2 linked regions of the Mytilus edulis genome follow. The protein of the gene in region 2 interacts with the protein of the main gene of each other region in a pairwise test. Links are inferred from orthologs where the notes say so. Each region holds a gene or a part of one and is shown on either strand. Other genes may lie near its edges.

Region 1 (11,099 bases), on a different chromosome or scaffold from region 2:
TTACCCAAATGTTTTAAAAAAAAATCTTTTTTTAATTTGTATTACTTACAATGCCCTCCCTTTGTACAGTATAATCTTCAGGATTGTAGAAATAGGTTGTTCCACCAACACTTTCCTGTTAAAAAAAGAAAAATTATATTCATTCAACTGATCCTGAATTACACTATCTTTATTGCATGCAGCAAGAGTAAGAATCAGGAAATGACCTGGAGATAAACAGAGGTTGAAATTAAAGTGACAACTGTTTAAATAGAATCCATGTGTGACAGAATATTTTATTCAGATTAGACAGGTCTTCTGTTTAAGTTTAAACATGTTTCAATTACTATTGAATAATATTTATGTGTAAACAATGTTCTCTTTAGAGAACTTTTTTTGTAGAGGACAGGTTCAATTTTAACAAGCTTGAATTCACTAATTATATTCAGTAACATTAGAAATTTTAGTGACGTTTTAACTATTGCGAAAATTGGCAGTGGGATCATGAGGATTACACAACTATAAAAACTAAATTTTGATAAAAAATATTCAATGCAACATTAACTGAAAGTGCAAAACTAAACAATTTTTTTTTACCATTGTTAAAAAATCGCAATAATAAGTGTATGAAAAATTTCTGAATGAAGTGTATACATTACCTGAATGGTGCTGGCTGGTTGGTTTTTCTTTGGTGTTCCTGGTTTAATGGGAGCTAATGGGGAACCAGTTCTTCTCATCATAAGAGGAGAGTTTGTTGGAGACAGATGAGGACTATTGTTAGGACTGGCTGTAGAATAAACAGCTCCTGAAAATATACAAACAATTTATCTTTGAAAAATCATATTAGTTTCAATCATGTTACAGAATAATCAAAGATTTTGGAAAGATGAAATTTGAAAATACTGAATACATAAAGCAGACTATTAAAGTTCTGCCATATCAACTTATACTTGGTGTGAGCCAAGGCTCTATGTTGTAGGCCTTATTTTGACCTGTAATCGTTAACTTTTTATACATCGCGACTTGGATGGAAAGTTGTCTAATTAGCACTCATACCAGATCTTCTTATTTATATTATTATTTTTTTAAATGAAAAAAAAAATATTTCAAAATAATTAGTAAGATCGTCCTGAACTTGTAATGAAGTACAATGATCATGAATTGCATTCCAAGAATCACTAAACAGTCTCTTTTAAGGTCAAAACAAACTTTTAAAATGTTTACCGGACATGCCCGATGGCATTAAATGAGCAGGTGGAGGTGTGTTGGACATCATAGGTCCTCCAACAGGCATTGGAATATCACCTCCAGGCACGGAATTTCCCATGTGACCATTATCCATCATATGAGGTCCAGCATTAGACATGGGTGGCATACCCACTGGTCCATTGTTGAACGATGAGAAATTAGGAGAACTAGCACTATGAGTTAATGTTGCAGACTTTGGTACAAATTCATCTGCACCTGGGTTTGACCCCTAAAATAGAAACAATTTCCTGTATCAATATTATGCATACAAATTTGTAACTCATATTTTAACATTTTTTTTCATAAATAAATAGTGACTGGAAATAATTTCACCGTTATTCAAGATTTATGTATTAATGATGTGACAGTATCAAGTTCAGCTTATTCAAAATTAGGATATCTATTAATGTCATGGCCATCTAACTTATGTGTTATTATTTATGATTATTATAAAACTGCTTGTTATAGAGAAGAAGAAATAGTTTATGTCTTTCTGAATGAATAAATGTAATGAAATGCATTTCTGAAATCTAAATTTAAATGTTTTTGTATTTACAAATTAGAAACCTAATCATTAAAAAAACTTATTTTGTTCATACTACTTTCCAATTAAAATCATTTGAGAACTTCCATTGTTAAAAACAAAAATATAGCATGCAGCATATATGAAATCTGCCATAAAATATACCTTTAAACCACTACCAGGAATTTGCAGATTGAGAGCTGCAAAATCATTTGTTAATCCCTGGTCTATTCTTGATCCTAGACCATCAAACTTTGGACTATCAATCCTAGATCCATAACCTTCACTATACATCTGACCAGGTAGTGGCCCATCCCTTAGATCTGGAGGAACATCCATTCTAGGCATGTCCATCCTTGGTCTCATTCCATGGCCAGGTGGACCAAAATTCCTAGGTCCTGGCCCTGGTGGACCAGGTGGCCCTGGCATTGGGCCTGGGCCCATCATATTTCTTTGTCCTCTTGCCATTCCTCTTTGCCGCTGAAAAATGGTTAAAAAAATAATTCAAAGGATTCAGCCAGACACCTAAACTGTGAAGTTCAAACATAGAGGTTGAAAAAAGTGTCTTTACAAGCAGGATTTTTGGAGATATGTCAATTCTTTCTACCAAAAAACAAAGCAGATGGAATCTTGTAAACAGAATTGAGAGAATATTTAGCCACTTTCCTATTTTGACCAGCCTCAACTTGCTGAAATGAAATTGTCAAGTGACATTACCCATAAGTTCATATTTCATGTAGTCATTTTGTGATGCTTAACATTCTAACATTAATATGAAACTGGTGTGTGAAAAATTAGATTCTCCCCAGGAGAAACAGACTTTCTAAGGATGTTAGAACAACTGTCTTTGTATAAGTAAAAGATAAAACAATACAATCATTACTCTGGCATTGTTTCAAAACCACATCAATATCCATGTGTACTAAAAACTTATCAATTATATATGAGTGTACTTTTTTAGTCTTTTTTCATTTTGGGCTAGTTAACAATATCCCATCAACTATCTATGAACATAAATTTCTGATGTTTATCGTGTTTTTTGCATTTGTAAACTTTAACTGACAAGCTTTTTTGTTGTCTTATTCATATAAAAGCCATATTTAACAGACACAATGTAACAAAATACCTACATTAAATGGCTGGAAGTCTGGGACAGGTGGTTCACTACTAAATGTAGCATTAAAATACTGATCTCCATTACTGCCCATTGAGTCTGGTAATGCTACAAAATAATCAAAGCATCATAGATTACTGATCAATGTAACTGTACAAGTGAAATAAATCTGGGGGCATTTTTATAAATATTTTGTTTTTAGTCTTCTTTTTTTTTTTAAACCCACATACCTCATCATGCTCATTAATCAGTCAACTTTCACACTACATTAACAGAATAATTTATGTAGTGTTTCAGTGTGTTGATCAAAATAAATAATAGGTACACTATTCAGGTTAAGATTTTGTGTATTCAGTTAGATGTGTTATATCCAGTATAATTATCAACTGTCATGACATATAAACTGGTCAATTAAAATTGCATTAGAATGGAGTTGATTTCAATTAATATTTACACCTTTGAGTTTAATTGTTTGTAAATCATGACACTTGAAAACCATACTGGCATGACTGGTATTGTATCAATACTCTTATTTGTCTAATGAAACAAAGGGAGTAAAATTATTTCAACATTGTTCAAAGAAGTGTGGGAATCCACCTACATCTACACAATACTTCTTAACTTCGATATGTTGAAGATTACAAGAAGGCACATACTAGAGAAACAATTTAAAAACTAAACATATTTAAAATAATTTCAAAAAAAACAAATCAACTCTGGTTATATTTTATTCAAATTTCAATGACTAACATAAGATATAAGATACAGATAAAACACTTTCATATATTCCTTCTCAACTGCTTGTACTTGATAAATCACTTTTTCATATCAAATGGCAATCTAATACATGTAATATAAATTCTGATTTACAAAGGAACTATATGCAATTGTATATATCTAAATTAAATAAGTTGTTTGCCAAACCTTTTCTAAATTGAAGGACAAATAACATATCATAAGTTGGCAGTTGATTATTAAAATGAGGTATAAAGTTTCTGCAAGTCATATAAACACATAATTTTTATCATATGTCTTCAACTTAGAATTCTGAACCAGATCTGAATTATCCCGATCATCACTCCAGCAAGGCTGAATCAATAAATTACATCTCCCTTTGACATTTTTTTCTCAAATAAATTTTCTATCTTAATACTTGTTATCCCAAACATTAGAGTCTTTATTTAGAATATTATGTTCTTATTTTTTTCATCACTGAAAAGGAATAGTCGCTTGGAAACATGAATGAGTTTTCCCATACTCCTTGTTATATCACATGTACCAAAAAAAATTCTGAACTCTTTACAATATGGCTGCAATAACCATGAAGTGGCCTATTTAATGACCATGCAAAAAGTTTAAATTTTCAACCAGCACAGAAAATGTCATACTTTAAAACATGGTAACTACAAATGTAGTACTGTATTATCATAAGGTAACAATAATGATTTGTGTCTATGCATAAAATAAAATGAAATAAACAAAGGCAGCTTTAGAACATTATTTGGACATTAAAATATAAAATTTTAAATCCAAGAAATTTTAACAGTAAATCTCGATTAATTGCGTATTCCTAACATGGTATGTTACTCTAGTTTATGAATAGTGTCAGGGATGCCTTAGATCGCACCTTGTTTGTCTTCTAAAGAACCGTTTATGAACTGTTTTTGAAACCCAACACCTGGTTTATGGTGGAGAAATTGACAGTCGTCGCCTAAATTACAAGTGCCTGTCTGCAAAAATAAGCGACAATGTGCATTTTTTTCTCCACTAGAAACTAGAGAAGATATCCCTTTTCCCAGATCTCATTTACTTATTTACGATTGATGCATTTTTACCGAGTTACATTAAATTATTTGGATGTCTTTTCCCTCATTTGAACAGGTTCTCGATTTTCTGACAATTTGTTGAGTACGCATGTGCATTTAATTGGGTCACATCTTTGTCTGAGTAATGTTTTTGTTGATTTGTCATCAAAACGCTTCATATTTCTTGATACAACTTGCCAATCGAGAAAAGGCTTCAGATCGGGATATTTATATAACAGTTATCTCTAACGTCCTCTAACAAAGAGGATTTTTTTTCTTTAAAAGTTCTGTATTTGGTATCTATGTAATACACTCAATTTACGGAAGCGCAATAAAGTACATAGTAAAAGTTAACTGAATAAAATTGGCAGGGAATTTTTTTTTCCACATTGTAATTTTGTTATTTTTAAATCTCGAAATTTTCAACTTAAAATTTTGTTATTTTTAAATCTCGAAATTTTCAACTTAATATTTTGACTTTCTTCAATCTTGAAATTTTGACTTCAAATTCAAAATTTTGACTTTTTATACTAGATTTTTTTACTTTTCTCAAAATTTCCTCTTTATATTTAAAAAAAAAATTCGACTGTTCATTTCCTTTCACTCTCACGCTAAATCTAGAAATTGGGAAATCGATCAATCGAGAATGCGAGAAATCGGGGAATCGATAAATCGATTAATCGGGAAATCGAGAAAGTGAGAAATCGGAAAAAAGGCGATATTCCAAGATTTAAGAAAGTCTAAATTTCGAGATTTGAAAAGTTTAAATTACGAATTAACGTAAAATTTTCCGACTTTGAGAAAAATCACTGCCAAGTTTTATTTTTTTTTCTGTGCCAGCTTTAGTAGAAATATCAACTTACGCTTGCATGCACCTCTTTTCTGTACGCTTTTGGTACTCGATATTTCACTGATGCAATACACATATATTTATATATTTAGAAAGATAAACGTCTGAACTTTAATTACACATCAATTTTTTGCTCATACAATATGTTTTTCACCTTTTTCGAAGCAACTGAATTTGGGTAAAATCCGATATATTTGCCGTCGCAAGAAAATCATTACGTTACGATAATCACATTGGCGACCTCCATTTAAATTAAAGATGGGTTCCAAAAACACCACCATATTCCAATAAGAGGAATGTGATATTATTGACAATTTTCGAGCAAAGCAGTGGCGGGTCCGTATACAATCTGTCGATAGATAAATTTTGAACAAGGTCATGTTTTTTTGTCTGGCTGTTTATGACGTTTTTACACTAAAACCATTGGATGTTGGATGTGAGCTGATTGATAATTAGTCTTTGATAAATGATTTTTTTTAATAGTTTGTTATTGGCTTTGCACTTTCAGATCTATATACTTAGTGCTTTTTTGTTGTATCCTGCCACGTCCGCTCTTTGTTACTTGTTTTTCTACTTTGTATTTATCTGATGAGTTAAGCCCTTTTCAAAGGACTTTAATAGTTTCTTCATTTGTTGTGTTTTGTCATCACTGAGTGGTGGAGGGTTGGGTGCCAGCAAACATGTTTGACCCGCCACTTTTTGTATGTGCCTGTCCCTGGTTGTTGTTTGTTGCTGTATATCATATTTGTTTTTCGTTCATTGTTCTGTACAGAGTTCTATATTTTAATTAGACTGACCAGGCCGTTAGTTTTCTCCTTTGATTGTTTTGAATTTTCAGTTTGGATGCCGTTTGTAGCTGACTATGCAGTATGGGTTTTGCTCATGGTTGAAGGCTGTACGATGACCTATAGTACTTAACTTTTATTTAAGTCATTTGGTCTCTGGTGGAGAGTTCTGCTTGTTTTTATAATAATCCCAAAATAAATATGATATCACAGCTACTAGTATATGCAAATGACAGCCACTGAATTACAGGCTTCTGTCCTTCGACAGGATCATACAGCAAGTGATGCGGTTAAAAATAGGCTATATATTTTGCACTCCTGGAGGTATTGCCGGCGTATGTTTCTTTTCAGGAAACCTATAGTACATATAAAAAAAAGAAGATGTGATATGATTGCCAATGAGACAACTCTCCACAAGAGACCAAATGACACAGACATTAAAAACTATAGGTCACCGTACGGCCTTCACCAATGAACAAACCACAGTACAGTTTACCGTTTGCTAGTAATTTTCCCTATACAAGGATGTTCCACTTTAGATCGTCTGATAAACTGAGATTAGTCATTTATATCCGAACCTTTTATAGCAGACAAGTCAGTCATGAATACAGTATGGGATTTTCTCATTGCTGAAGACAGTATACGCTCGACTATGATTGCTTACACCACTTCATTTGGACTTTTGTGGGTATTTGTCTCATTGACAATCATAACACATCTCCTTATTTTTACATACGTTTTTTCTTCTTCTTTAACTTGCACTAATACGTATTTAAATTAGTATTTTAAAACTAGATGATAGAAAAGCGTTTATTTTGTTTATAGATCGATCATTTTGCAGGAATGTCAATAACCATGCATTTTGATTTCCACCTATGTCATAGCTATTTTGGGAATAGTAAACGCGGAACCTTTATTGACAAAGCGGACAAAGTGTAAGTTCCAAAACCCGTAAACTTTGGGAGGTTCTAACCCCATCACGTGTTTTGTAACTGTACCAAGCTGGGAACAGTATATCTAATATATATGTTCCTGTACCAAGTCAGCCTCATCTTGTCCGTTTGTTGATCGTTGTTTCTTTTCTTGTGCTAAAATTTGAAATACAGATTTATTGAGAATAATCATTATGAATCATATATTAAACAATGACTATAGATATGAAATATATCGCTCTTTTTGTTGAAATTTTTCGAATTACGAATCAGTGCTGTTTTCATTACGTAAAAAATAGGACAAATTATGATTCATTAAAATTTTATAAAAACTGTTCAACTTTCATTGTTTTTTTTTCGGACCTGAATCATACTCCGACAAAAAAAATCTGTTGACATAATGTTTGTAATAAAAAAAAAATTATCTGACTTGAATATATAGTTTGTAAAACCCTACTCTAATTATACATTATGTACCTAAATGAGGTTGCAATCAGGACGATTTTGTCAACTTTCTCTTTGTGATCATTTATTCTGTAAATGTCAACACTTTTAATGAAGAGATCGAGAAGCATAGTTCTATTTCACTTTCGACGTGTATAATCATCAACTTAAAACACTTTTTATCTTAAGCTTGAAACCATGGTTTTGATTTGTGACACTGAATAGAACCCTTATCAACTACTCTGCCTATATTGTTCAAAACCACCCTTCATTCAACTTTATGAACTCTCGGAACGACAAAAATCTTGACATCTTTAGTTTGATAGATACATGCCTATTTTTGAGCCCTGTATATATTGCCCTCTAGGTGCCGTTATGTTATTTTAGTCGTATGCTGTCTCGCAAACACTCCACATTTCTTTTTCTTTTTCGTTTTCATATAAAAAGGGTACTTTTAATGATTTTTGTGCTTACTTTAGATAGTCATAAACTTTTGATAATATTTAAAATCCCTTCGTTTTCAAAATATATAAAAACAAATAAAAAACAACAGGAAAGCACATTGATCATGTCAGTGACTAATGTACGTGTTTTATTTTATTTCAAGGACAGATGAAGCCTGTAAACCCATTTACACCTTACAATGATTTTATAATACAAATATATAGTTGACACATAATTGAGTTACTTGAAATGTATTGTGATGAAACAATGGAACGCTGAATAACGAAATTGAAAATCGGTCCTAATCCAAATGAATTCTGAGAGACACATATGTACAATAATTGAATACGTAAAATTGAATTCTGCATCCACAAAATGCTTTTTAAGTCCTTTAATTCACTATATTAACATATTTGACTAATTTTTATTTTTCAAAACGCTGTAAGTATTAAAATGCTAAAAATGTTTACGATGCGATAATATTTTTTTTTGCAATATTCCGCTAGACATATTAGCTTCATCGAGCGTGCATATATAAAGGTGAAATCGAATGCAGACAAGAAACTTTTGCACATGGACGTTGCTGCCATGTATATCAAAGTTTTGATAAATTTCAAGATTATTTATTTTATTTGAAATGTGTGGTTTGCATGTCCATTGGCCAATATTATAGATAAAGTTTGATGCAGTATTTTTAATCATTCTTTATCTTTTCTCCTCTTTTTCATTAATCTCATCAGGTGAGGTTTTACAGTACGGAACTGGTGGATCCAAAAGTGTCCTTCTCGCAGTGATGTCCCACTCAATGTTCACTTCAATTATTTGGAAAGTAACATTATCTAAAGGGTGATTCTTTGAGCGAATATGTCTAGTAAGGGGAAAGTTTTTGATAGTTTTGTACCATGAACGATGGTTATTTAGTATAATATTAAAGTTGTCCATTGCTTCTACCACGTACTGAATGCCAACTACATATAGCTCATCTGACTAGCAGAGCTACTACATGACCTTTGACAACAAACAGCACTCACCTGACCAACATACTACAACAGAACCTTTGACAACACATATAGCTCACCTGACTGGCAAAGCCACTACAGGAACTTTGACAACAGATATAGCTCACCTAAATAAGAGAACCACAACAAGACCGTCGACAACAAAAAAGCTCACCTGAAGAACAGAACCATTACCAGACCTTTGACAACAGATATAGCTCACCTGAACAAGAGAACCAAAACAAGACATTTGACAACTGATAAAGTTCGCCTGACTAACAAAACAACTACAGGGCCTTTGACAACACATAGGTCATCTGACCAACAGAACCACTACAGGACCTTCATCAACAAAAATATCTCCCCTGACTGTCAAAGCCACTACAGGGCCTTTGAGAACACATAGCTCACCTGACCAACAGAACCACTACAGGACCCTTGACAACAGATATAGCTCACCTGACTAACAGAACCATTACAAGACCTTTGACTATACAGATGTAGCTAAACCGAACAACAGAACCACTACAAGACCTTTGACAACAGATATAGCTCACCTGGCCAACAGAACCACTACAGGACCTTCAAAAAACAAACATAGCTCACCTTAACAACAGAACCACTAATGGACCTTTGACATCAAAAATATCTCACCTGACCAAGAGAATCATTACAAGACCTTTGACAACAAATATAGCTCACCTGATCAAAAGAACCACAACAAGACATTTGACAAAAGATAAAGTTCACCTGACTAACAAAACAACTACAAGACCTTTGACAACAAATATAGCTCACCTGACCAACAGAACCAATACATGACTTTTGACAACAAATATAGTTCACCTGACCAACAAACCAACTACAGGATCTTTGACAACAGATCAGGATCGCTCAAAGTTAAAAAAAAAATGAATGCCAATGTGATGAGAAATACATAAGGACCTGCATTCAAGCAAAATATTACCCAAAATCATTCAAAGTAAATTTTTTGGGTCCAACAATTGGATTTGGTGGTTTGAAAAGGAGCTGATGAAAAAACTGCTATTATTGGAATCTTTGCAACATAAGCAATTCCTTATCCTTTCATCAACTCCTTTACCAAAAAAAGTTATATAAAATTGAGAATGGAAATGGGGAATGTGTCAAAGAGACAACAACCCGACCAAATAAAAAACAACAGCAGAGGGTCACCAACAGGTCTTCAATGTAGCGAGAAATTCCCGCACCCGGAGGCATCCTTCAGCTGGCCCCAGCATCTATAAAATTTTCCAACTGTAAAACGAATCACTCAATTTATATATTTGAAACATGTTACACCTGTGGCATTCAGTATGTGGTAGAAGCAATGGACAACTTTAATATTATACAAGTCATAGGTCTTGCAGTGGTTCTGTTGATAAGGTGAGCTTTATCTGTTGTCAAAGGTCCTGTGCTCAGTGCTTACATGTTTAACTGCATGTTTTGATACATTCTTTATCATGTTGCAGAACCCACCAATACATAGGTTCCAGATTCAACCGGCAAAATGTGTTTTATATTTTTTATTTTAAGGTTAGAGTGTTCCTGATAAAATTTGATAGAGAAAAGCTTTGCATTAAACAACAGAATCAGTAAGTGGGGTTGTTCATTAAATGATTTGATCAAAATTTTTAAATTTGGCTTCTGTTGGGATTGAGGGTCTTTTTAGGGTGTAAAACTGACCAAAACACTCTTTAGAGGTTGAAAATCGGGAAAAAATATTTTTAGTTTAACTCATTCGCCCCAAGACATTTCTGGAAAATCCGGCATTTTCGAAAATTTGCAATCATATGCAAATTATATGCAAATTAGCAGACTCTTGATGCTGTAACTGACGCTCATTTATCAAACTATATATTGGGATTTGGGGGCTGATGGCATGGGTGGGGGTGGGGTCGGAGGTGGAATATTTTCTCGTGGGTTTGAACCCACCCCCACTAAAAAATGGTAATTTTC
Region 2 (10,340 bases):
GAAAAACACGTTGACGATGGAAATTTGTACCAAATTTATTGAATAAATGCCCCATTTTTATTGATTTATTTTTTCGGTAGAAATTGCACTATATGAAATATATATCGCAAGTTGTGATTATATAATAACTATACTGTTTACTCCATTGAGTGGCACACATTTCCTGCATATTTAAGACAATTGTAAATGATCGTTCTGATAAAATCAAAAGATCAAAGAGATTTTAAATAAATGTAGGGTAAGATCATTGGTTGGTATATACGAATGTTCAGCTGAACCCCGATGTGTTGAATTTTTTTTTAGTACTGCGACTCAAGTATTTGTATAGTAACATTGTACAAATTCTTGTGCAACTGTTCAATAATATTTACGGTAATTACCAGTATCATTTGGACGGTTTCATTTGGTCGGATAGTGATAACATATTTTAGGGGACAGAAATGTATTATATAAATATCTATACAACGTAGTTAGATCTCTGTTTTCTTCTGCTGTATTTTGTTGATTGGTACTTGCTCGATTAATTTTCGTATTGTAAACTGGAAATTTCTACTTTCCAGGATTATCCAGTAACTTAACCATATATATATTACTCTAAACTTCACAGTTTTAATATTAATCAAATATATTTATTGTTAACCGGCGGTAACCGGAACACACCTTAATCACGATTCAAACTTCACCCACAAACTAATAAAATAATGTCACTCACTATTTCAAATCGTTGTAGAATAATTAATTCTGGGCCGATTTTCATTTTTTATCCATCAATCGATTTGTTTAAATAAGTTGTTCTCAAATAAAGGTCTACCGACGCAATTGAAATAAGTAAAGGTGTTTTCCGACAGGTAATATTGTAAAGCTGTCTCGATTAAAACCATGTGATTGATAAGAAGTATCTCTGGTCAATTTATGACTGCGGCATGACTACAAAAGAAATTAACGACAGCGTACTAATTAGACAGTTTCCATATCTTTTCTACAGGGCTACCCCTGTACACGGGTTATAAATAAATGCTAATTAATCATTGTAGTTCCTGTCAATATAATACTTCCATGATCTATTTAAATGGTACATAATGACTTGACTATACTATATGTATTATTTATAAAAAACAAATCATTTAAAAAATTGTATGTTTTCGAATATCAAAAATATAGTTGTGAAAATGAATAATCAGTCCCTTGCTTTAATGAAAATGAAAAATCTTGCTTCAATAGTGCAGAACTTCAATAGTGCAGAAAATGAATAGTCTGTCCTCTTAGTTTACAAAAATAAATAACCGATCATAAACAAATCCTGCTGCACCCCCCCCCCCCCCCCCCCCCCCCCCCCCTGATTGTGCAAATACCTAAGATCTTTGCGCAATTGGTTTCTTTGTTGAATTAATGATATTTGATATATACCTGTTGTCAAAAACTGTTATATTCAAAGATGACAAAGTTTCTTTGATCTCGGAATATAGCAACGTTCTTGTTGCTTCCATTTCAAATCAGGAAAATGAAAGTAGAAAACGTGTTGTGTACGGGTCTCACTAATTAGCGACAACAAGCGTCAACAAGCGACAACAAGCGTCAAGAAGCGACAAGAAGCGACAACAAAAATTATTTTAGCGACAAGCGACAAGAAAACTATTTAGCGACAAGAAAACATTTTTTTTTTTATTAGATATAAAGAAATTTGTATGTAATGTTTTTTTTTTAAATATACGAGCAGATATGTCTAATTAAAATGTTTTATTATATAGATAAGATAAGATAACTTTATTAGCACTAACACATTGACAATAAATGGTTATGGCAACAAATTAAAGACTAACTACAATAACATATATACAATGAAGGAGTGACAGTGGATAATTATGAGAGAAATATATAAAAAATAAATGAGAAGCATATACATTATTACAAAAAACAAGTACCTTTTAATAATGAGTTTCTCACCATGCAACAAGCATTAATTCAAATAGTTGACAACAATTTTTAATATTGTTTGGGAATTACTATTTAGAATTGATATAAGCAGAGACATATAGCTTAGAGCCTTATGGTTACCTACAGTGGTTAATGTCTGTATCATTTGGTTTCTTGTGGAGAGTTCAATATTATATTGCATATACTGTACAGAAAAGAAATGTAATACACTCGCACATCAATATATTAAAAATATGCCATGAGATATTTTCCACTGGACGTTAGGCAACCATCATTTAATTCAGCCTGATCGTGCAGTTTGTATAAAGTAAAACAAAAAGGTTTTAACTTACAAATCAAGTCAAATAGTTGTAAACTATTTACACATGTGCATTTTCGTTTCAAAACTAAAAGGAGATTTTAACTAGTCCAAAAGTTAAAAAGAAAGAAAGAAGGGAAACATGTACATTTCGAAACATTTAGATATCAATGTGGCATTAAAACTGGTATGCTTTGAAGTCAACTTGCCATGTTAACAGAATTATAGCATAGTAGAATGTTTATTCTTACAAAAATTGTTACATGAAAAGGCAGCAATACCTGCTGCTGTGAGTTTTTATCGTATATTTAGCAGTTCCTTACACTTAAACTATGGTTTAATCTCTTTACATTCGAGTTGAAAAGTGAGACTTATATTGCCATTTCCTATTAAATGATCATTAAATGTAAATCCTAAATACACAATCCGTGAAAAGGAGAAACCATAAATTAACCGACAATCATAAAAAAAAAAAACTCAATACAAGCTCATAATGTAAATTTCGAAAAACACACTTAGAAAACAATTTACCGACAATCCCCAAAAAAACAACTCAATACATGCCCAATTAATAATGAACACAAAAAGTAATAATTTTTTAATGATCTATAAGAGTTATGAATATAAGACAAAGTTGATCATGATTAACGGTAAATAAAGAAACAAATTAAGTTTTTTTTTCTACTCATTGATTAATTTTATATTTTGTATTTTTGGAAAGATTGTGGACACCTGTGGTGTAACAACTTCTTGTGTACCAGGTGTCAATTAAAACTCTTTTAAACAGGTTGTGATTTACCTGACCATCGAATAATTCAAGCGTAATATACATGTCACACTGTGAAAGTATGTCTCTGACACAGGTGTATATTAAATAGAAACCCATTATGAAACTATCAAATAAAATGAACTCTGATACAATTTATTAAGTGTTAACTATTTAATATCGTTTTTTTTTTTAATTCAATATCAAGTTATGTCTATTTTTCAATAATACAAATAATACAAATCAAAATTAAAATGACATTGAAATAAATATTTATGCATGAACTCAAATTATTTAATTAATTATGTTAAATTTAACACTGAAACAGATAATTTATGCTTAAACATTCACCCTTACTTCGAGTACTTTTAATACTTTGATAAAGACTCTATTACCCAAAGAGATCTCGCGAGGTTTAAATGTGGCCGTGTGATATTACGGGATTTCGCCGAGTTGCCAATCTCTTGTATTATATGTCTCTGATATAAGCAAGTTATATGATATTAAAGGAAGAAAATTTGTTGTTCAATAGAACATTATTTAATTTTTTAATAAGGTTATCTCTCACATATTTATAGGAGGAACATTTTAAAAGAAAGTGAAGTTCATCTTCAATGTCTCCATTGTTACAGATAGACGAAGAAATGAAACATTTGTGAGAAAGAAAGAGATTGTGAAGTTTATATTAGTATATTGGTAGATGAAGAAATTTAACATTTGTGAAAAAGAAAGAGATTGAGCTTCTTTTTTTTAATTTTTAAATATGAAGAATATGTATAAGATAATGTATGAATCTGTTTTCATCAAAGTCAAAGTATGAATAATCGAATGGAGATATATATGGAGCGGGCATAATGGAATATAATATTTTGATTCATTTGCTTAATACTATGCTCTAAGTGTACTCTTGTTATGTCAATTCGATGCTTTATTTGTAAAACTCTCAGCCACGCTTTGCCATCTTTATTATTTAAGCGTGTTTCCAGAGCCCACGACGAGGACGTGGTTCTACCTTGGGGTCCATATACAGATCACGTACTTTTGCGGAAAAAAACCCCCAAAAAAAAGGTCAACTTTCCTTTGAAGGATTTATTGAAACAAAAACATGAAATATTATTTCCTTTCTAACAGTATAATTCATCGTTCTTGATAGGAACAACATTAGTTGTGGCTTCACCTTAAGGTAATAACAGTACACACAATGTGGAACATCAAATGAGATTAACGAGTCGCGTGTCCCCTGTTTTATTGCTACAATAACATCCAATTATCACCTTCAACTTTGTACACACGTCAGACTATACAATTACACGCGCCAGACTATACAATCATTGTAAATAGGGAACACCTGTTGAAAACTCAAGATTGTCATTAATTTCCTTTCATCTTCAATCAATATGCATAAACATGATAAATATCGTTTAATGAGGCAATAAACAAATAAAAAGATGAAAACATTCACATTTCAATTTTCTTTTCCTCCTGTTTGGTTTCAGTTCTTTGTATTTCACAATTTGTGTCAATATTTTCAGGACAATGATGCACAAGTAATTCATTTTGCGAGCTTAATACATATTGCACGAAAAGAGTTTTAAAATACAAATTATAAGATAAATAATATGTTCTAAAACACAAGGAAAAGTAATCTCATAATACAATAATTAAACGTAATACTGGCTGTTATTCATAATAGATGATAAAATATTATGTAAATAATGTTTCATTTTTTTCTATCAATTTTAACTTTCTTGTCGCTAAAATTATTTTCTTTTGCATATTCTTTTAATATTTATTGCAATAATTAATTTTAATTAAAAAAAATGTTTTCTTGTCGCTAAATAACAGCTAAATAGTTTCTTGTCGCTGTTTGTCGCTAAAATAATTCGCTTCTTGTCGCTTGTTGACGCTTGTTGTCGCTAAAATTCTTGTTGTCGCTAATTAGTGAGACCGTAAGCGTACTGTTATCTCCCCTCTTAAAACTCTTCAGAATAAATTAAGACTGGTTCCTTGTTTTTAAATTTTTCTCACACAGAAGTTTGACCGCTCGAAATGTGAGTGACAAATATTTGAACAGATTAATGTCTTAATAAATTAATGATAACATTTACAACAAAATACCAATTATTTATACTTTCACTATACTTAATGCATGGGAGATAATATATTAAGTATACTTTTACCTGCATTTTGGCTTTAGCGCGCATGTGACTAACCAGACAATAAACTATTGGAAACCAGTAGATCTGACTTTTTACGTATCAACTATCAGGTATTTATTCGTATGTCACAGTTGTATGAAAGTATAAGAATGGAAAGTTTAATTGATGCACTTTGAAACCAGTCTCTTTTTCTCCGCTGAATTAACTTAGACCGTAACATTCAAATCGCACTGTCGTCCAGATTTTTGGTACTGATTTTTTTTGAAGAAAAGGTTACAAGACACGTGTTTTTGTTGACTCACGTTTATTATTTCTGCAAAACCTAAATAAATTCTGTAACTAAGAACATCGAGAGTGGTAGGCTTTATTATAGACAATAGACAATATTTTATTCGCACAAACACATTTACATTAAATGGTTATGGCATACAAAATTAAGACAATAAACTGACTCTTATATGTAATGCATTATGCACATCAACATTTATAAAAACCCTGACTCAATATTTGTGGAATTTACTGTTTCAGAAATTATTATCTAAAGACGTAAAACCAAAGGAGTATAAATATAAATAGGCAGTGGCTATTTGACCGGCACCGGCAAAATAGCAAATTTGCTATTTAGCCGGCTCTGATTAAATTATATCTAACTGGAATTAAAATTTAAGAATAATAATTAAATATCAAAATTTTCTATTTAAAAACTTTTGTTAATGTTGCTCATATAAACACTTAAAACACTTAAACTTCTTATCTAAAAATAAATTAAAAAGTAAAATACAAATATGATAATAGTCACTTTGTAGCTATACTACATTCCGGAAACTAGTACATGTATACTCTTTTCATTTACGGAACCAGCATTGTGATTGTGTTGACGATGCAATCGCAAAATGGTCTTTCAGTACCATGAGAAGACTTGAGAAATACAATTATAATCAAGCGATTATCGGGCTTGGTCTTTAAACAAAAACCGTGAAAAAATAAAAATTTCATCAGACACATTTTTTTCAGTATAAGAAGGAAATGATTTTTAGAATTATATTTGAAAATGAAAAGGTGAAAAAAAGTCTAAAACAAAGAGAAAGTAATTGTATTTATTTATGTATTTTCTCATTTTGAAAAATAACATGTTAGTTGCACAGACGCTGCTCCTTATTATCCAATCTAGCTCAACCCAATACACATTAGAAGTTTGTTTTTCTCTAATTACTTTTTTTCTTCAAATTATTATATGATTTTTATGAGGTCATGTTAAGTTCCAGGAAATTGCGAGAACGCAGAATTTTTCACTATTAATACCAGAGCTTCCAGGGACCTTGAGGGGCCCCAAGACCCCTCGCCATATGACTTACCCCCGGCTTTAAGTACACATCATTTTGGCCTAGCTACACCCCTAGCTGTTTAGAGCATATATAAAAAGGAGAAAAAGAACCCTATCTACATATGTAACATATGCACACAAGATGTAGATTCAAAGGAAGCCAGTGTAATGTGTAGTTCCTGTTTTGAGTGGCAACATGTACATTTATCTTGTGCTAGACTAAACAACTTCCAAAGGCAAAGAATTGGTTTTGTAACAATTGCAAATGTTAAATCATGTGTCCATTTGAAATTCATAGCAAACAACTATTAATATTGTCTGTCATATCTGTTTTACAGTCTGCACGGTTAGCCACTAGTCTGATGCCCCAGACTGGTAAAATTTCTTTCAGACTAGTAAGTTTTTTCAAAACTTTGTTTGGACTAATAAGAAAAATGTCAGAATATTATTCTTCGCACTAGTAGTTGAAAAAGTTTTTGGTGCAGACTGGTTTTATGATGTAGTTTTGCATAACACTATTTTTATCACTGGCAGAATATTTAAACCATAGATTTTAAACAGATTTAAATTTGAAAATCAACATTTTGTTATAAATATTTAAAAAAAAATATATTTAATAATGTATTTACAAATGTGTTTTCATGCTTTTAATTAATATAATAAAGTTATAAATTATTTATTTATGAAAATCTTTTATTTTTTATTGTACTGTATTTTCTTTTAGTTTTCGCACTCTAACTTTAGTAAAAGTGAATAGAAATCGATGAAATTTTGACACAAGGTTTATGACCACAAAAGGAAGGTTGGGATTGATTTTGGGAGTTTTGGTCCCAACATTTTAGGAATTAGGGGCCAAAAAGGGCCCAAATACGCATTTTCTTGGTTTTCGCACTATAACTTTAGTTTATGTAAATAGAAATCTATGAAATTTTGACACAAGGTTTATGACCACAAAAGAAAGGTTGGGATTGATTTTGGGAGTTTTGGTTCCTACAGTTTAGGAGTTGGGGGCCAAAAAAGGGCCCAAATAAGCATTATTCTTGGTTTTCGTTCAATAACTTTAGTATAAGTTAATAGAAATCAATGAAATTAACACAAGGTTTATGAACACAAAAGGAAGGTTGGGATTGATTTTGGGAGTTTTGGTCCCAACAGTTTAGGAATTAGGGGCCAAAAAGGGGCCCAAATAAGCATTATTTTTGGTTTTTGCACCATAACTTTAGTATACGTAAATAGAAATCTATGAAATTTAAACACAAGATTTATGACCATAAAAGGAAGGTTGGGATTGATTTTGGGAGGTTTGGTCCCAACAGTTAAGGAATAAGGGGCCCAAAGGGTCCAAAATTGAACTTTGTTTGATTTCATCAAAAATTGAATAATTGGGGTTCTTTGATATGCCGAATCTAACTGTGTATGTAGATTCTTAATTTTTGATCCCGTTTTCAAATTTTTCTACATGTACATTAACATGATTAAGGTCCAAATGGTCCAAAATTAAACTAAGTTTGATTTTAACAAAAATTGAATCCTTGGGGTTCTTTGATATGCTGAATGTAAAAATATACTAAGATTTTTGATTATTGGCCCAGTTTTCAAGTTGGTCCAAATTGGGGTCCAAAATTAAACTTTGTTTGATTTCATCAAAAATTGAATAATTGAGGTTCTTTGATATGCCAAATCTAACTTTGTATGTAGAGTCTTAATTTTTGGTCCCGTTTTCAAATTGGTCTACATTAAAGTCCAAAGGGTCCAAAATTAAACTAAGTTTGATTTTAACAAAAATTGAATTCTTGGGCTTTTTTGATATGCTGAATCTAAACATATACTTAGATTTTTGATTATGGGCCCAGTTTTCAAGTTGGTTCAAATCAGGATCCAAAATTATTATATTAAGTATTCAGCAATAGCAAGAAATCTTCAATTGCACAGTATTGTGCAATAGCAAGCAATTTTCAATTGCACAGTATTGCGCAATAGCAAGAAATCTTCAATTGCACAGTATTGTGCAATAGCAAATATTTTCAATTGCACAGTATTACGCAATAGCAAGAAATATCTAATTGCACAATATTGTGCAATAGCAAGAAATTTTCAATTGGAGTTATCTTTCTTTGTTCAGAATAGTAGTTGGATCAACTTAAATCATTGTTTTATGCAATATACAATGTATATTCACTTTTACTACCAACTGATAAATTAAAACAATCTTTACCATTCAGTGATAACAAGCACTTTATTTTACATTTTAATATTTTATGATGTAAATGTATTTAAAAGAGTAGTTATTGTTGCAAACTCCATTAGAAATTTGAATTGATATCAGTTTTGGAAAAAGGGAAACAGGGATGTGAGAAAAAAAAATGGGGGGGGGGTTAAATTTTTCTCATTTCAGATTTTATAAATAAAAAGAAAATTTCTTCAAACATTTTTTGAGAGGATTAATATTCAACAGCATAGTGAATTGCTCAAAGGCAAAAAATTTTTTTTTAAGTTCATTAGACCACATTCATTCTGTGTCAGAAACCTATGCTGTGTCAACTATTTAATTTTAGATTTAAATAAGTTTGAAGAAGAAATCTTTAATTGATTTGTAAAATCTTGACATTTGTTTTGTGTAAAAAAAAAACCATGTTATGTCAAAAATTTGATCACAATCCAAATTCAGAGCTGTATCACACTTGAATGTTTTGTCCATATTTGCCCCAACTGTTCAGGGTTCGACCTCTGCGGTCGTATAAAGCTGCGCCCTGCAGAGCACCTGGTCTTAAGTTTATTTGCATGATTTTATAGTTATTATATCGGTAAGAAAAAATGAACATGTAGCTAGAAGACCAGGATTTATTTACTTGTGTAACTGGGAAGGATTTTTAATGATTGTTGACTTCTCCAATTTAAAATTATGCTCAAAGAAGGACCTTTTATGTTGGGATTAACACTCCAAATGAGGGGTAACCCCTCAATGTAAGGATAATAAAAAAACACTTTTAAGGAGGCCGGAGGGTATAAAAAATCAGCAGAAATTGAAACATTTGATTTTTGATTTGAATGTACGGTAACTGTGTATTTGGTTGTTTTTGTCCATTTTACAATTGGTCCAAATTTTGGTCATAAGGCTTTAAATTTGTTTAGTTTGATTTAATAAACATTTAATAAAATTTAAAAGATAATAATTACAATGTTATATTTCAATTACCTCCCTTACATTGGTTTTAAATTATGTAAAGTTGTCAGCTAGTTCTAGTATGAATTATTTTTTAGCTGTTTCTAGAAACATCAAATACAGTTTTTCTGTAATGGAAGTAAATATACTGAGCAAAAAAAGTTGAATAACAAAACTATGAAATTTGTTTATTACAAAAACTTCACAACAAAATGGAATTAAAACTATATTTGCCATTGAAAGCCATTGCGGAGGGTCAAAATGTGGAAATGGGTAAAGAGTTATTAAAAGTCAATATCTCGTCCATGCTCCACGTGCATCAATGACGGATTGGCAGCATTTTCGCATTCCATGAGTATCTTTTGAATTTGTCATTGTGGAATCGCATCCTGGTCCCTTATCAGTGAATTTTCAAGTTCTTGTGAATTTTAAAAATCACCTTGAACTTTAAGGATGCGTCGGTTCAACAGATCTCAAAAATGTTCGATTGGATTGAAGTCTAAGGATCGACTTGGCCAATCAAGAATGTTGGAACAGATTCATCATCAGGCAAGAAGTATGTGGTCTTGCTTTGTCCTGTTGAAAATGGAACACATTATGATTATGCTTGGTAAAGAAAGGAAGAACAACAGGTGTGAAAATGTAATCTCAATATCTCCTGGCATTCAATGTCTTACAAACAATCACTAAATTTG

What was found. The genes of interacting proteins can lie anywhere in the genome.
Region 1: the proteins of PAN2-PAN3 deadenylation complex catalytic subunit PAN2-like (region 2) and PAN2-PAN3 deadenylation complex subunit pan3-like interact in binary tests that used the Drosophila melanogaster proteins (3 or more experiments, as listed by UniProt). The link is inferred for Mytilus edulis from reciprocal best matches to the Drosophila melanogaster genes PAN2 and PAN3.

Annotation. Positions count from the first base shown.
Region 1 is NC_092351.1:26,581,674-26,592,772, reverse strand, and holds the start of PAN2-PAN3 deadenylation complex subunit pan3-like, read right to left. Parts: upstream 4,813-11,099; 5' UTR 4,708-4,812; exon of another isoform or gene 4,700-4,707; intron 2,973-4,699; 5' UTR 2,959-2,972; coding exon 2,881-2,958; intron 2,231-2,880; coding exon 1,916-2,230; intron 1,457-1,915; coding exon 1,204-1,456; intron 785-1,203; coding exon 639-784; intron 116-638; coding exon 50-115; intron 1-49. UniProt on the Drosophila melanogaster protein: Regulatory subunit of the poly(A)-nuclease (PAN) deadenylation complex, one of two cytoplasmic mRNA deadenylases involved in general and miRNA-mediated mRNA turnover.
Region 2 is NC_092345.1:39,385,854-39,396,193, forward strand, and holds the start of PAN2-PAN3 deadenylation complex catalytic subunit PAN2-like, read left to right. Parts: upstream 1-4,952; 5' UTR 4,953-5,050; exon of another isoform or gene 5,051-5,430; intron 5,431-10,340. Other genes in the region: E3 ubiquitin-protein ligase E3D-like, read right to left, coding at 1,408-1,487. UniProt on the Drosophila melanogaster protein: Catalytic subunit of the poly(A)-nuclease (PAN) deadenylation complex, one of two cytoplasmic mRNA deadenylases involved in general and miRNA-mediated mRNA turnover.